2 linked regions of the Arabidopsis thaliana genome follow. The protein of the gene in region 1 interacts with the protein of each later gene in a pairwise test. Each region holds a gene or a part of one and is shown in the gene's direction. Other genes may lie near its edges.

The links.
Region 2: the proteins of SMG7 (region 1) and LBA1 come close enough for resonance energy transfer, tested with the Arabidopsis thaliana proteins (one study listed by BioGRID).

What each region holds. Positions count from the first base shown.
Region 1 is NC_003076.8:6,538,448-6,545,529, forward strand, and holds SMG7 (Telomerase activating protein Est1), read left to right. Parts: upstream 1-1,555; 5' UTR 1,556-1,681; intron 1,682-2,121; 5' UTR 2,122-2,155; coding exon 2,156-2,227; intron 2,228-2,422; coding exon 2,423-3,019; intron 3,020-3,114; coding exon 3,115-3,237; intron 3,238-3,350; coding exon 3,351-3,565; intron 3,566-3,642; coding exon 3,643-5,815; 3' UTR 5,816-5,838; intron 5,839-5,914; 3' UTR 5,915-6,049; intron 6,050-6,147; 3' UTR 6,148-6,568; downstream 6,569-7,082. Other genes in the region: ABCG23 (ABC-2 type transporter family protein), read right to left, coding at 6,790-7,082. UniProt on the Arabidopsis thaliana protein: Plays multiple roles in growth and development. Involved in nonsense-mediated mRNA decay (NMD). May provide a link to the mRNA degradation machinery to initiate NMD and serve as an adapter for UPF proteins function.
Region 2 is NC_003076.8:19,069,782-19,074,824, forward strand, and holds the start of LBA1 (RNA helicase), read left to right. Parts: upstream 1-2,042; 5' UTR 2,043-2,227; coding exon 2,228-2,764; intron 2,765-2,955; coding exon 2,956-3,207; intron 3,208-3,282; coding exon 3,283-3,453; intron 3,454-3,595; coding exon 3,596-3,646; intron 3,647-3,738; coding exon 3,739-3,831; intron 3,832-3,900; coding exon 3,901-3,996; intron 3,997-4,092; coding exon 4,093-4,143; intron 4,144-4,223; coding exon 4,224-4,342; intron 4,343-4,442; coding exon 4,443-4,551; intron 4,552-4,717; coding exon 4,718-4,840; intron 4,841-4,920; coding exon 4,921-4,992; intron 4,993-5,043. Other genes in the region: AT5G47000 (Peroxidase superfamily protein), read right to left, coding at 1-394. UniProt on the Arabidopsis thaliana protein: Involved in nonsense-mediated decay (NMD) of mRNAs containing premature stop codons (premature termination codon PTC) by associating with the nuclear exon junction complex (EJC) and serving as link between the EJC core and NMD machinery.

The sequences.
Region 1 (7,082 bases):
ATGCTCTTGAGTTTCTGACCAAGCCAATTACAACTGAAAGTCTCTTAATTTTCATTTGTAGCCAATAATGTATTTACATGATTCAGTTACATCAAACCTGGATATACAACAATATTATATTAATCTATTCTATCAAAGTTTAAAACCAATTTTTTAAAAAAACATATATATATATATATATATATATATATATATATATATATTCTATGAAAGTTAGAGAACCTTTATGTGAGATCTCATCAGAGTATGGGAAGTTGACATATGTCCAATTACTAAATGAATAAATTAATAAAATCTTATTGATTATTGATTTTATATCAATTCAAATCAACTAAACATAAAAATCCTAAAACAAGATGTTTAAAAAAGGAAGAAAATCTGTCTTAAAAAGGGGAATGAAATCTTATCATAAATACATTATTTTTTAAAAAAAATCATAAAAGCATAAACATAGATATTTACATTAATGTGGAATTTTAACATATACAGTATTACATTTTCATTTTCCTCTTATGTGGGAGGGCTTAATTTTTAAATCGCCATCACAATACAACTAGATAATATCCGCACATAGTGCGGGGTAGAAAAAATTATTTAATAACTTTTATGTATAATTGATAACTTTTATGTATAATTATTTAATACCCGCAATATAATTGATTATTATTAGATAAATAATGGTGTATTAATTAATTATCAAAATTAGTGAAATATTTATTTATGTATTAATGTTTATGTTTATCATGATTTATTATGTATATCTTGTTATATTAATAGATATAAAATATTAGATACTCTATTTTGTATAGATTTATATCTCTTAATCATATATTTTAATTGAATTTTCATTTTAATAATTGAATGAAAAGCATAAATTAATTTAAAAAAATAAATAGAAGTAAAACTAATGACAAATTCGTAAATATTATGTTGGGTGTTTAATTAAATGGATTGAGAAGCAATGTGAGAACGACATGTCAGCGTGACATTTTCCTTAATGATACATAAAAGTATGGTTATTTTTTTAAAATGCTTCTCAATTAATATATAAGGAATAAAAAGAAATATTAAATACCGTTGGAAGAAGTTAAAAAAAAAACCCGCGAAATTCAAATAACACACCACACATATATCTTAACTTACTATAAATAATTATGTATCATTCACTACGAAAAACAAGTATAACTCATCCAACAAGATGTACGAACACTAAACAACCGAGATTTCAATCATTCTCCTAGTAATTTTACCTGTTTGTTAAACATTATGCAGATTGTCTCGACTAGTAAATCACAACCAATGTGTTTGAGAACAAGTAGTAATAAAGAAGTCCAAAAATCTTTGATGTCAAATCTTTGAAAAGAAAAGACTAAGAAACGACGACGTTCATCAAATCCCGTAAGGCAACATTCTCCGTTTGACTAAACCAATAGCGAGAAAGAAAACACTTGGACAATCCTTTTTTTTTTCTTCTTCTTAATATTCATTGTTCACTATTTATATGTCCTCTCTATTGTTTTTATATATAAGCAAAAGTCGACCTTATACAATCTTCACCGTCTCTATTTTTTTTTTCCTCTCTCTCGCGGAAAAAAAAACCCTAGTTTTTCTCTCTTCTCACCGATTTTTCATTCCGATGCTTCTGGTCGCATAGCCCATCCCCGCAGATCTGTTAATTCCGGTTAGATTTCTTCCCTTTATTCCTAATTTCGAGAATTTGGTTGTTTTCTTCTTATCTCGTCGTTTTTTTTTTCTTCAAAATTAAAAATCTTGGGAATAGGGTTTCTTTTGTATGCTTGCCCTTTTTGAATTCGATCCTGATTCTGCTTTGATTTCGCTTCTCGTCTTGCGGGTAATAGTTTATGATTGATGATTATAGGCAAAACGATTCTGATATGAAGGGTCTTTGTGATTCATGTGTTCTTTTACTCTTTTGAAATCGGCGTTTGATCACTGGTGCAATCGTTTTGATTTTATGTCAATGGTCTTTATTCCAATTCAAGGGTTTGACTTGTCTCTGTTCTTTAGTATAAAGCTCCAAACACTTTAGACGATTTTAGCTCGGCTGTTTTATTACTTTGTTTTAGATGATAAGGTTTTGGCTTTCTTATCTTATTGCAGGTTACATATGAAATAACATTGAAACATTTGATGGATGATGACTTTACAGATGGATAAAACTACTGCTTCCTCTTCATGGGAGCGAGCCAAGTCCATATATGATGAGGTTCTCTCTCTACTACACTTACATTTCTCAATTTGGTTTGTTCTTGTTTTTGGAGTGATTTAACATATCTCTTAGGGATGCAATCTTAGTTTATTTGTTGGGGATGTATAAGGTCGTTTTGTCAATTCACTTGACCCTATATCTTTGTAAGATTTTGGGACGACGTTGTATTGACTATAGATGCTTACTTTGCAGATTGCTGAGTTAGCAAACAAGCGTCAGAAGGCTGGAAATCCACCTGACCCAAATTTGTTGCAGCTCTTACGTGAGAAGTATGAAGCAATAATTCTTGAAAGTCATACCTTTTCTGAGCAGCACAACATTGAAATTCCTCTGTGGCAGTTGCATTACAAACGGATTGAATATTTTAGATTACACATCAATCGTGTATTGGCTTCTAGTACCTCGACAGCAGCGCAAAATGTCAAGGGTCCTTCTAAAGCAGAACAAATTGCACAACTCAAGCTGCAGTTCAGAACATTCCTTTCAGAAGCAACTGGGTTTTACCATGACATGATCTTAAAAATTAGATCAAAGTATGGCCTTCCCCTGGGTTCTTTTTCTGAGGATCAACAGAGTCAAAATTTGTCTGATAAAGATGGAAAAGAGTTAGCAGAAGTTCAAAAAGCCTTGAAATCTTGTCATCGTTGCTTAATATACCTTGGTGATCTGGCTCGGTATAAAGGAATGTATGCAGAGGGGGATTCCAGGAGCAGACAGTATGCTTCTGCTTCAAGTTACTATTTGCAAGCAGCTTCTCTATGGCCAGCCAGTGGAAACCCACATCATCAGGTGATTCCCTTGTTTTCCCCTCTTTCTCATGTTATTTTATATTTCGTACAACTATGGAATACATTTTTTCTGACTAGATTAACTTAATGTCTCAGCTTGCAATAGTTGCTTCTTATTCGAGGGATGAGTTTGTAACAACATATCGTTATTTCCGAAGTTTGGCTGTGGAGTATCCTTTCCCAACTGCCCGTGACAACTTGATTGTTGCTTTTGATAAGGTTAACTAAAAAGTTCCTGTTTCATTATTATTTTAGTGGCTTGGCGTAAGAGTGTGATTATTCTTTCACTTTTTTATCATCCAAATATAATGTATCTTTCTCTCTTTGAGCAGAATCGTCAGAGTTATGAAAAATTGTTTGTGCCCTCCAAAGACTCATCCAAGAGGCTGACTGGTAAAGGAAGAGGGAAAGGTGCAGATATTTCATTGAAAGATGCGACCTTGGTAGCTGGTCCTGAGAAGGATAAAGTAACTATTGCAAATGAGATGCTCAAAGCATTCAGCATTAGATTTGTTCATCTCAATGGGATTCTTTTTACCCGAACAAGGTAAATTTTTCTGAATTATTTTGTTCTAGATTCTGATACCGGCTCTCTGGTATAATACCTATCACTTGTCTTCACAGCCTGGAGACATTCTTTGATGTTCTTGCCTCCACTAGCAGCAGTTTACGAGAGGTGATTTCTTTGGGCTCAGCTAAAGAGCTGACTTTGGGCATAGACACCAGTGACAGCGCACTTTTCATTGTTAGAGTCGTGACAATGCTTATATTTAGTGTTCATAACTCAAAGAAAGAGACAGAAGGTCAGTCATATGCAGAGATTGTACAGCGTGTTGAGCCTGCCAGAAACTCCTTAACAGCTAGTTTCGAGTTACTTGGACTCGTAATAGAGAAGTGTGTGCAACTGGGAGATCCTTCGTCGAGTTACTTTTTGCCTGGTGTCTTAGTTTTTGTTGAATGGTTGGCCTGTTGTCCTGACATTGCACTGGGAAGTGATCCCGATGATAGACAGACTGCTGTAAGAAATAGCTTTTGGAACCAGTTTGTTGTCTTCTTCAATCAAGTCTTATCGCTTGGACCTACGTTTATTGATGATGTCGAAGACGAGACTTGCTTCTCAAACATGAGCTTGTATGATGAAAGAGAAACTGAAAACCGGCTTGCACTATGGGAGGACTATGAACTAAGAGGATTCTTGCCACTGCTTCCAGCTCAGACGATTCTCAACTTCTCAAGGAAACATTCGTTTGGAACTGAAGGTCCCAAGGAAAAGAAAGCTCGTATAAAGAGGATCTTTGCAGCAGGGAAAGCTTTGACCAGTGTGATCAAAGTTGATCAGAATCATGTATATTTTGATTCAAAGAAGAAGAAGTTTCTTGTTGGTGTAAAACCGGCAGATGACTTTCTGGATTCTCATTCAAGCCCACCTAAAGCTTGTAATGCTTTGCAAGATAACCAGGTAATGATAGATCATAACTCGCCAATAATGCAGCTTGATCAACAGATTTATATGGGTGAGGAAGATGATGATGATGAAGTAATTGTTTTCAAGCCGCTTGTTACTGAAAAGAGGAAAGAGGCTTCTGACCAAATATATGTTCCTAGTGGAGGCTTCAGGAAATCTGATCAAGTTACTACTATGGGGGACTTTAAAGCTTTAAGTGGATCTGATGTAGCTTTTCATGAAAATCAAATTCTGCAAGCTAGAGGCAATGCGAGTATTCAAGTGCCTGCATCTGTTGGTGCTAACCTTCTGGGACCTCTACAGCCATCAACCCAGTCTCAAGCTATGCATATGCAACAAGTTCAGACGCAGGTTCAAGTACCTGCATCTGTTGGTGCTAACCTTCTGGGACTTCTTCTGACATCAACCCAGTCTCAAGCTATGCATATGCAACAAGTTCAGACGCAGGCAGTGAATCCTCAGCCAGCCCAATCACTAGCTGCTTCTCGACTTCAGCCAATACAATCACAGGTCGCACAACCACTGCCATCACGGGTTGTGCACTTTCAACAAACTCAAGCTCAGGTTTCACATGTTTCACCGGCCCACTCGCAATCTACTTCCTTTGGTGGTGGTAGCAAGTGGTCACCCGAAGAAGCTGCTTCTCTTGCTAGTAGCCTATCTGGGTTTGCTCAGCTGGGTAATGGTCATGTAATGAGGAATGAGATGCAAGGAAATCATGGAGTTTCCTATTACCCTGCACACTCATTACCCGTCCACCAGTCTTACAATGGCAATGGTATGGGTGGTATGCCATATTCTCAGTCAAGAACACCTGAAGCTGTATTCCCACCCAAAATTGATCCTGTTTTATCATCCGGAGTTGTTGCTGATGGCCTGGGCGTCCAATCTTCATTAGCAAAGAAAAATCCAATCAGTAGAGCCTTCAGGCATCTTGGCCCTCCGCCTGGGTTTAACTCTGTCCCAGCTAAGCTGCAAAAGGAGCCAGCACCTGGTTCGGAATTGTCTGGCAACAACCACCTACCGGTTGATGATTACAGCTGGTTGGATGGATACCAAGCTCAATCTTCTCGAGGCGTTGGGCTGAACAGTTCTTTGAATTACGCCACCTCTGGGAAACCAGAACACTTGGGTAGTACTGGCAATGGACTGAACGGGCCTGCCAACTTTCCGTTTCCTGGAAAACAAGTTCCAACTTCACAGGTCCAAGCAGATTTTCCTTATTTCCAGAACCCTCAGAAAGATAACTTTGTGGACAAAAACCATCAGTCAACTCAACTCCCCGAGCAATATCAAGGACAGTCGACTTGGTCGAGTCGTCACTTTGTGTGAGATCAGAATGGAAGAGTAACACGGTAAGAGCAAACATAAAGCTCCTTTGCATTATCAAATACTTTGTAAACTATCTTATTGTTATTAGTGTTGATCTAGGTAATTGGGAATGATGCAGGTGAGTGTTACGCAACGTTTATTGCTACCTAACTCCAACTGATCCTTGTTCTGCTGAAGTCTCTAGTTGGAGTCTTTGTGGCCTTGGCTTCTTGTGGGGCACTTCCTACCTGACGGGTTGGTCCTTTTCATCGTTTTCTTTAAGCTAGTATTGCAGTTCCTTGTTTACACATGCGTAGGCACTCATACAAATCACCAATGTTTATTGATGATAGATTCAGGACACAGCTCATGTTGGTGAAGAGATATGTGGTAACAAGAATGAATGGTTCTGTGGAATTGATAGGAGTAAAGTGCCTTTCTCGTGCTACTTGAGGTGGAGATGTTAAACCTTATGAATAAGAAAGGAACATACGTAGCATGTGGCTCACTCTCGATATCTGAAGCAGTTGTTTGCTGTTTTCTTTTCTTCTTGCGTATGACTGTGTAGCTGTCCGTCCTCTTGCAGCTATCTCTCTCTCTCTTGGGTTGCTTTACTTTTATTTCCTCTATATTCTATGCTTGTCTCAAACTTGTCTCTGTTTTGCTGTGTCGTTTTAAGTTGAACCATCATAAGGTGTGTGAAACTTTGCAATGAATAAAAAAGGGACTCATGTGATAAAACATGATTTGGTGTTGAAATACTTCCTCCTCTTGAAGATCTGTGAGAATACCTTTGATTTTAAAGGTCGGATTTTATACATAATTTCACTTCATTTACAGGCTCATTTTACTCCCTTGGCATTTTGAAATCTGTAATATGCCAATGCTGCTACAAATGAACTTGATAAAACTGATGTCGAAAAATGTTAAAAAGAAGTTGTAATTGTATATGAACATAGAAGACTGAATACAGTTCTCCCTATACAATGAAATCTTTAATGGGTTGACTTGGAAGCCTTCCTGAGTAGAATACCCCAGCAGAGGATTCGATAAAAAACGAAAAAGGCAAGCATGATCCCGACGTTGATCCATCTCGTATCCTTGTCAAGCCCTCTCTCCTTCAACACATCCTCTCCGGTCATCAAGCAGCCCATGTTCCCACTGGAGAAGCATTCCTCTCGCATGCTCCAGTACTCATTCACCACCATAGACTCCAGCGGGTAACGGTACAAGGACACATAGTACATGAACATCCATGGTTTTGGGATCTTCTCTTTTGGGATAAAGT
Region 2 (5,043 bases), about 13 Mb from region 1:
TATCCGCGCATGATACTACACCAGGACAAGACAACTCGAGAGCTGTCTTGATGCGGGTGACGATGTCAAAAGCATCTCCCGGGAGGGAATCATTGAGATCATCATCGCGTTCCGCTTTGTTGAACGAGTTGGTCGCGATCAAGACAGATGCATCACAACCTTCAAGGAAACAATCATGGAAAAAGAGACGGAGGGTCCCGGCCGCAGTTGTTGGTTGTTGGACTTGTTTGGTTGTAACGGCTTCACGCACAATTTTGTGGAAATCAGGACATGTTTTTTGGTAATAGTCCGTTCTCAAGATAGCGACATCAGCCGATATAATTGGTGCAACCACGGCGAGACAGAAGAGGATAACAAAGGGATTAAAACCACGAGAGAATTGCATATTCGACATCAGATAATAACAAACAATGGTAATTGAATTGGATTTGTGAGAGAGATGTCTACGAGGTAGACTTCTCTACGATCGATTGTCGTCGAAAGCAATTAGAAACGAAGACGAAGAAAGGGCCTTTGCGACTATTTCATGGCTTAGGAGGTTACTAAGAAGAGGCTACGTAAAGGATGGTTTTCATTTCCTTATATGTACGTGTGGTTGTTTTTCGTTTATTCTTTTCTATTTTTGTAATTTATCTATTTTTTGTATGGTTTTGGTTGCTTTGAATTTGTTTTGGTTCTAGAAATTTTCTTATGTTCGACAAATGTGGTAATATGATAGTTGCTTTAATAGGATGCATACACACGTGAAATTGATAAATACGAGAGAATAGAAACTCATGTGAAGGAAAAAACTAATATTAATTAAAATTATTCATTTCGCACAAACAAACAAACAAATTAAAATCATTCATAGTTTATCAACTAAACTTTAAACTTGACGTTATTTTATAATTTTGTTGAATCAACAACCTGTGAAGGTGAAGGTGCCAATGATTGTGACAACATGATGTTTGGTATGCTTACGTTAATTTGATCCAAGAACAGTTTTCTAGCAAATGTTTGATGAACTAGACTCAAATAAAAATACCTACTCATGTAGAAATCACGCAAGCTCAACATTATTAGAGATCTGATTGAATTTGATATTTTCGTCAGATTCGTATCAATCTCAATTTTGTATTACATATAACGAGCCTAACTCTCATATGGGGCAGATCTTTTTGTAAGTTCGAATGAGAGTTATGCCTTTGGTAACATAAATTGCTAGACCACAAAATTACATATTTTCTTATTTAACCTACGCAAAATCGCAAATATCTAAGAGTGCAAATGATTTCATAAAGGAATTTAATGGAATAAATATATGAATAAAAAAAAAGAAGATGAATAATGTTATTCAATCAATTCCACCTGCGACATAGTAAAAAAAAAGAGTTGAATAATTATTATTTTTTAATTTTCACCCTTTTCAATGTAATCATTTAAAAAAAAAAACTTTTTTGTCATCCCAAAAGTATAGAATTGGAAGAATGGTTTATTATACCACTTTTATTCTTCTAGCTGTACCATTTGCATAATAAGTTTCTCTATACCGGAACCAAATTCTTGTATTTTCTATATTAAATATTCTAATATGAGAAGTTGAATGTTAAGAATTTTTTTTTACTTATCATGCTATCTTATTATAGAAAATTTGGTTTCTCAAAAGTAGTTATTAACATAATCTAATATGAGAAGTTGAATGTTAAAATTAAATATTTACTTAACATGTGAACTTATCATAGAAAACTTTGGTTTCCAAACTTGTTCATAATTTTTTTCTAAAATAAAATAGTAAAAAAGTAAATCTAATTCAAATAAAAATAAGATAATCAATTATTTAAAGTGTTAGAAAAATAGAGTGATAAAATAAGAAATAAACATCATTCAACAAACCTAAATATTTAGAAATATGTAGAAATTTAATTGAAAACCCCAAAAAAATATGAAGGGAGGCTTTGGTGTCTAAAAATTAGTAATTGGGCCCAATATCTCGTGCGCAAAGCCCATATTACATAGAGCATGGCGCGTATAAATAACATACATCTTATGTATTTATCTCTCTCACGCGCCCCTCTTTTCTTCTTCATTGACACGGACATTCGTTTCCAATTCTCTCTAATGTTTCACTAAAGCGCATACATAACCCTAACCCTAACTCTCTCGTACTGCACAAAAAAAAAAAAAAAATTGAAGAAGAGCGATACGATCGTAACCAGGGAGCTTGATTTCTCCCCTGATTTTTCTAATGGATTCTCAACAGAGCGATCTCTTTGACACCGCATCGCAGCCGGACACGGTGGCCGACGAGTATACCTTTTTGGAATTCAATACTCAAGGCGATTCAGAGTTCGATTACCAGGATTTTGGATCGCCGACGGCATGGCCGACACCGTCTGATTCTATTTCCATCGCTGACGTTGCCGATCGTGGTGAAGGAGGAGCTGCCGCGGATCATCATTCTGAGGCTTCGTCACCTTCGTCCCTCTCTGCCGGTGCCGGGAATGGTGCGAAAGTGGGACGCGGTGGAGTTGGTGGAAGTGGTGGTGTTAGTAGTAGTAGTCAGGTTGATGCATTGGCCGCTGGTGTGGGAAATTTGAACTTTGAAGAGACTGGTGATGATGATGGTTTTGATTATGGTAAAAATGATTTCACGGAGCACGCTTGTAAGTATTGTGGTATCTCGAACCCAGCTTGCGTCGTTAGGTGTAATGTGGCTTCTTGTAGAAAGTGGTTCTGCAATTCAAGGGGAAACACCTCAGGCTCTCATATTGTGAATCACCTGGTTAGTAATCATCACTGTAATCTGTTTTTTTTTTTCATCTTCTGGAAGTGTTGTAGTTTCTTGTGTTGTTGTTAAGACATGTGGTCATAGGTATCTCTGGTTTGGTTTGTTTACTCTACAATTTCCATGAGATAGGGTTGCACGCAATTGAACCTTTCTTAATGGATTTCCTTCTGTTGGTTATTTTTAAGGTGCGAGCAAAACACAAGGAAGTTTGTCTCCATAGAGACAGTCCACTAGGGGAAACAATTCTCGAATGCTACAACTGTGGGTGTCGGAATGTCTTTCTTCTCGGTTTCATCTCAGCAAAGACAGATAGTGTTGTCGTCCTTCTCTGTAGAGATCCTTGTCTAAATGTAAATGCCCTGAAGGATATGAACTGGGACCTAAGTCAGTGGTGTCCCTTGATTGACGACAGATGTTTCCTCCCCTGGCTTGTTAAGGTTAGTTTCTGTCCTTGCATTTTTTCTTACGAAGACATTTTCATGTGATAGCTTTTATTAATTCTTGTTTTACAGGTCCCATCAGAGCAAGAACAGCTAAGGGCACGCCAAATTAGCGCACAGCAAATAAACAAGATAGAGGAATTATGGAAGACAAATCCGGATGCTACTCTTGAAGACCTTGAAAAACCTGGTGTAGATGATGAACCTCAGCCTGTTCAACCTAAGTATGAAGATGCGTACCAGGTATAGATTTTCTCAGCCTTTTACTTATAAAATAAGTAACTCAATTGATATATTAGAGAAACAGTAAATTCGTCATGCCACTTTTGGAAGAGGTCACTGTTAGAATTATGCTTCTATACTTATCCTTTCTGGTGGTTTGCAGTATCAAAATGTGTTTGCACCTCTAATCAAACTCGAAGCAGACTATGACAAGGTGTGTATTTAGTAATTCATTTTATTTGGATTGATTTTCATGTCCCTTTTATATTTGTTCTGTTGGGACTTATCATCTTAAGTCTGCTGTAGATGATGAAAGAGTCTCAAAGCAAGGAAAACCTCACTGTTCGGTGGGATATTGGTCTTAACAAGAAGCGTGTTGCATACTTCGTCTTCCCAAAGGTGGTTGAAATCTAGTGGTCGCTATTAAGCCTTGATTAGAACATTTCCCGATTTAAACTTTTGATGCAGGAGGAAAATGAATTGCGATTGGTACCGGGTGATGAACTACGTCTGCGGTACTCGGGAGATGCTGTTCATCCATCCTGGCAGTCAGTTGGACATGTGGTATACATCGTTCTTGGTTTTGTTATGTTAGTAGGGTGGAGATCCTGTATTTGAGAGTGTTTAGGTCTTTACCATAAAATTTTAATAATTCTCCAGATCAAGCTAACGGCGCAAGAGGAGGTTGCTCTTGAACTCCGAGCTAATCAGGTGAGTATAATTCTGATGTTAGCTTTGCTTTTGACATCGACTTGCGGAGATATGTTCAACCTCACTTACTCTGTGTGTAGGGAGTTCCGATTGACGTAAATCATGGATTCAGTGTTGATTTTGTTTGGAAAAGTACAAGCTTTGATCGAATGCAGGGAGCAATGAAGAATTTTGCTGTAGATGAAACAAGTGTGAGTGGGTAAGTCAGTCATCGGAAAGCCTAGCTCCTTCTTGGTACGTGTCCATTTGTTACTGCATGCTAATCAACCACTGAATCACTATGTTTCTATTCTTTGAAGTTATATCTACCATCAGTTATTGGGACATGAAGTTGAGGCCCAGATGGTTCGTAACACACTACCTCGACGTTTTGGGGTACCTGGTCTTCCAGAACTGAATGCATCTCAGGTAATCATTGGCTTTCAGCTTATCCAGTTCATGAATAATGTTCGTCGTAAATGTCTTCACGGAATTTTCAGAGTCGTTTTGATCCCGTGTTCCTTGTTAACACGATGAATAATATATGTTATCTATATAACGGATTTATAACAGGCTCTATTGTATCCTTGAGCAGGTTAATGCGGTGAAAAGTGTCCTTCAGAAGCCCATCAGCTTGATCCAAGGTCCACCTGGCACAGGCAAAACTGTGACTTCTGCAGCAATTGTGTATCACATGGCAAAACAGGGCCAGGGACAGGTAAAGCTGATTGTTATTGATTCCCTCAAGATTGCTTTTTGTGAGTTGACTATCAGATATTTATTATTATTACCTGACAGGTTCTCGTTTGTGCCCCAAGTAATGTTGCTGTGGACCAACTAGCTGAAAAAATTAGTGCTACTGGGTTAAAGGTAAACTTTTAAACCTCCTAGTTTTTCTATTAAAATTTTGCGTAAGACATG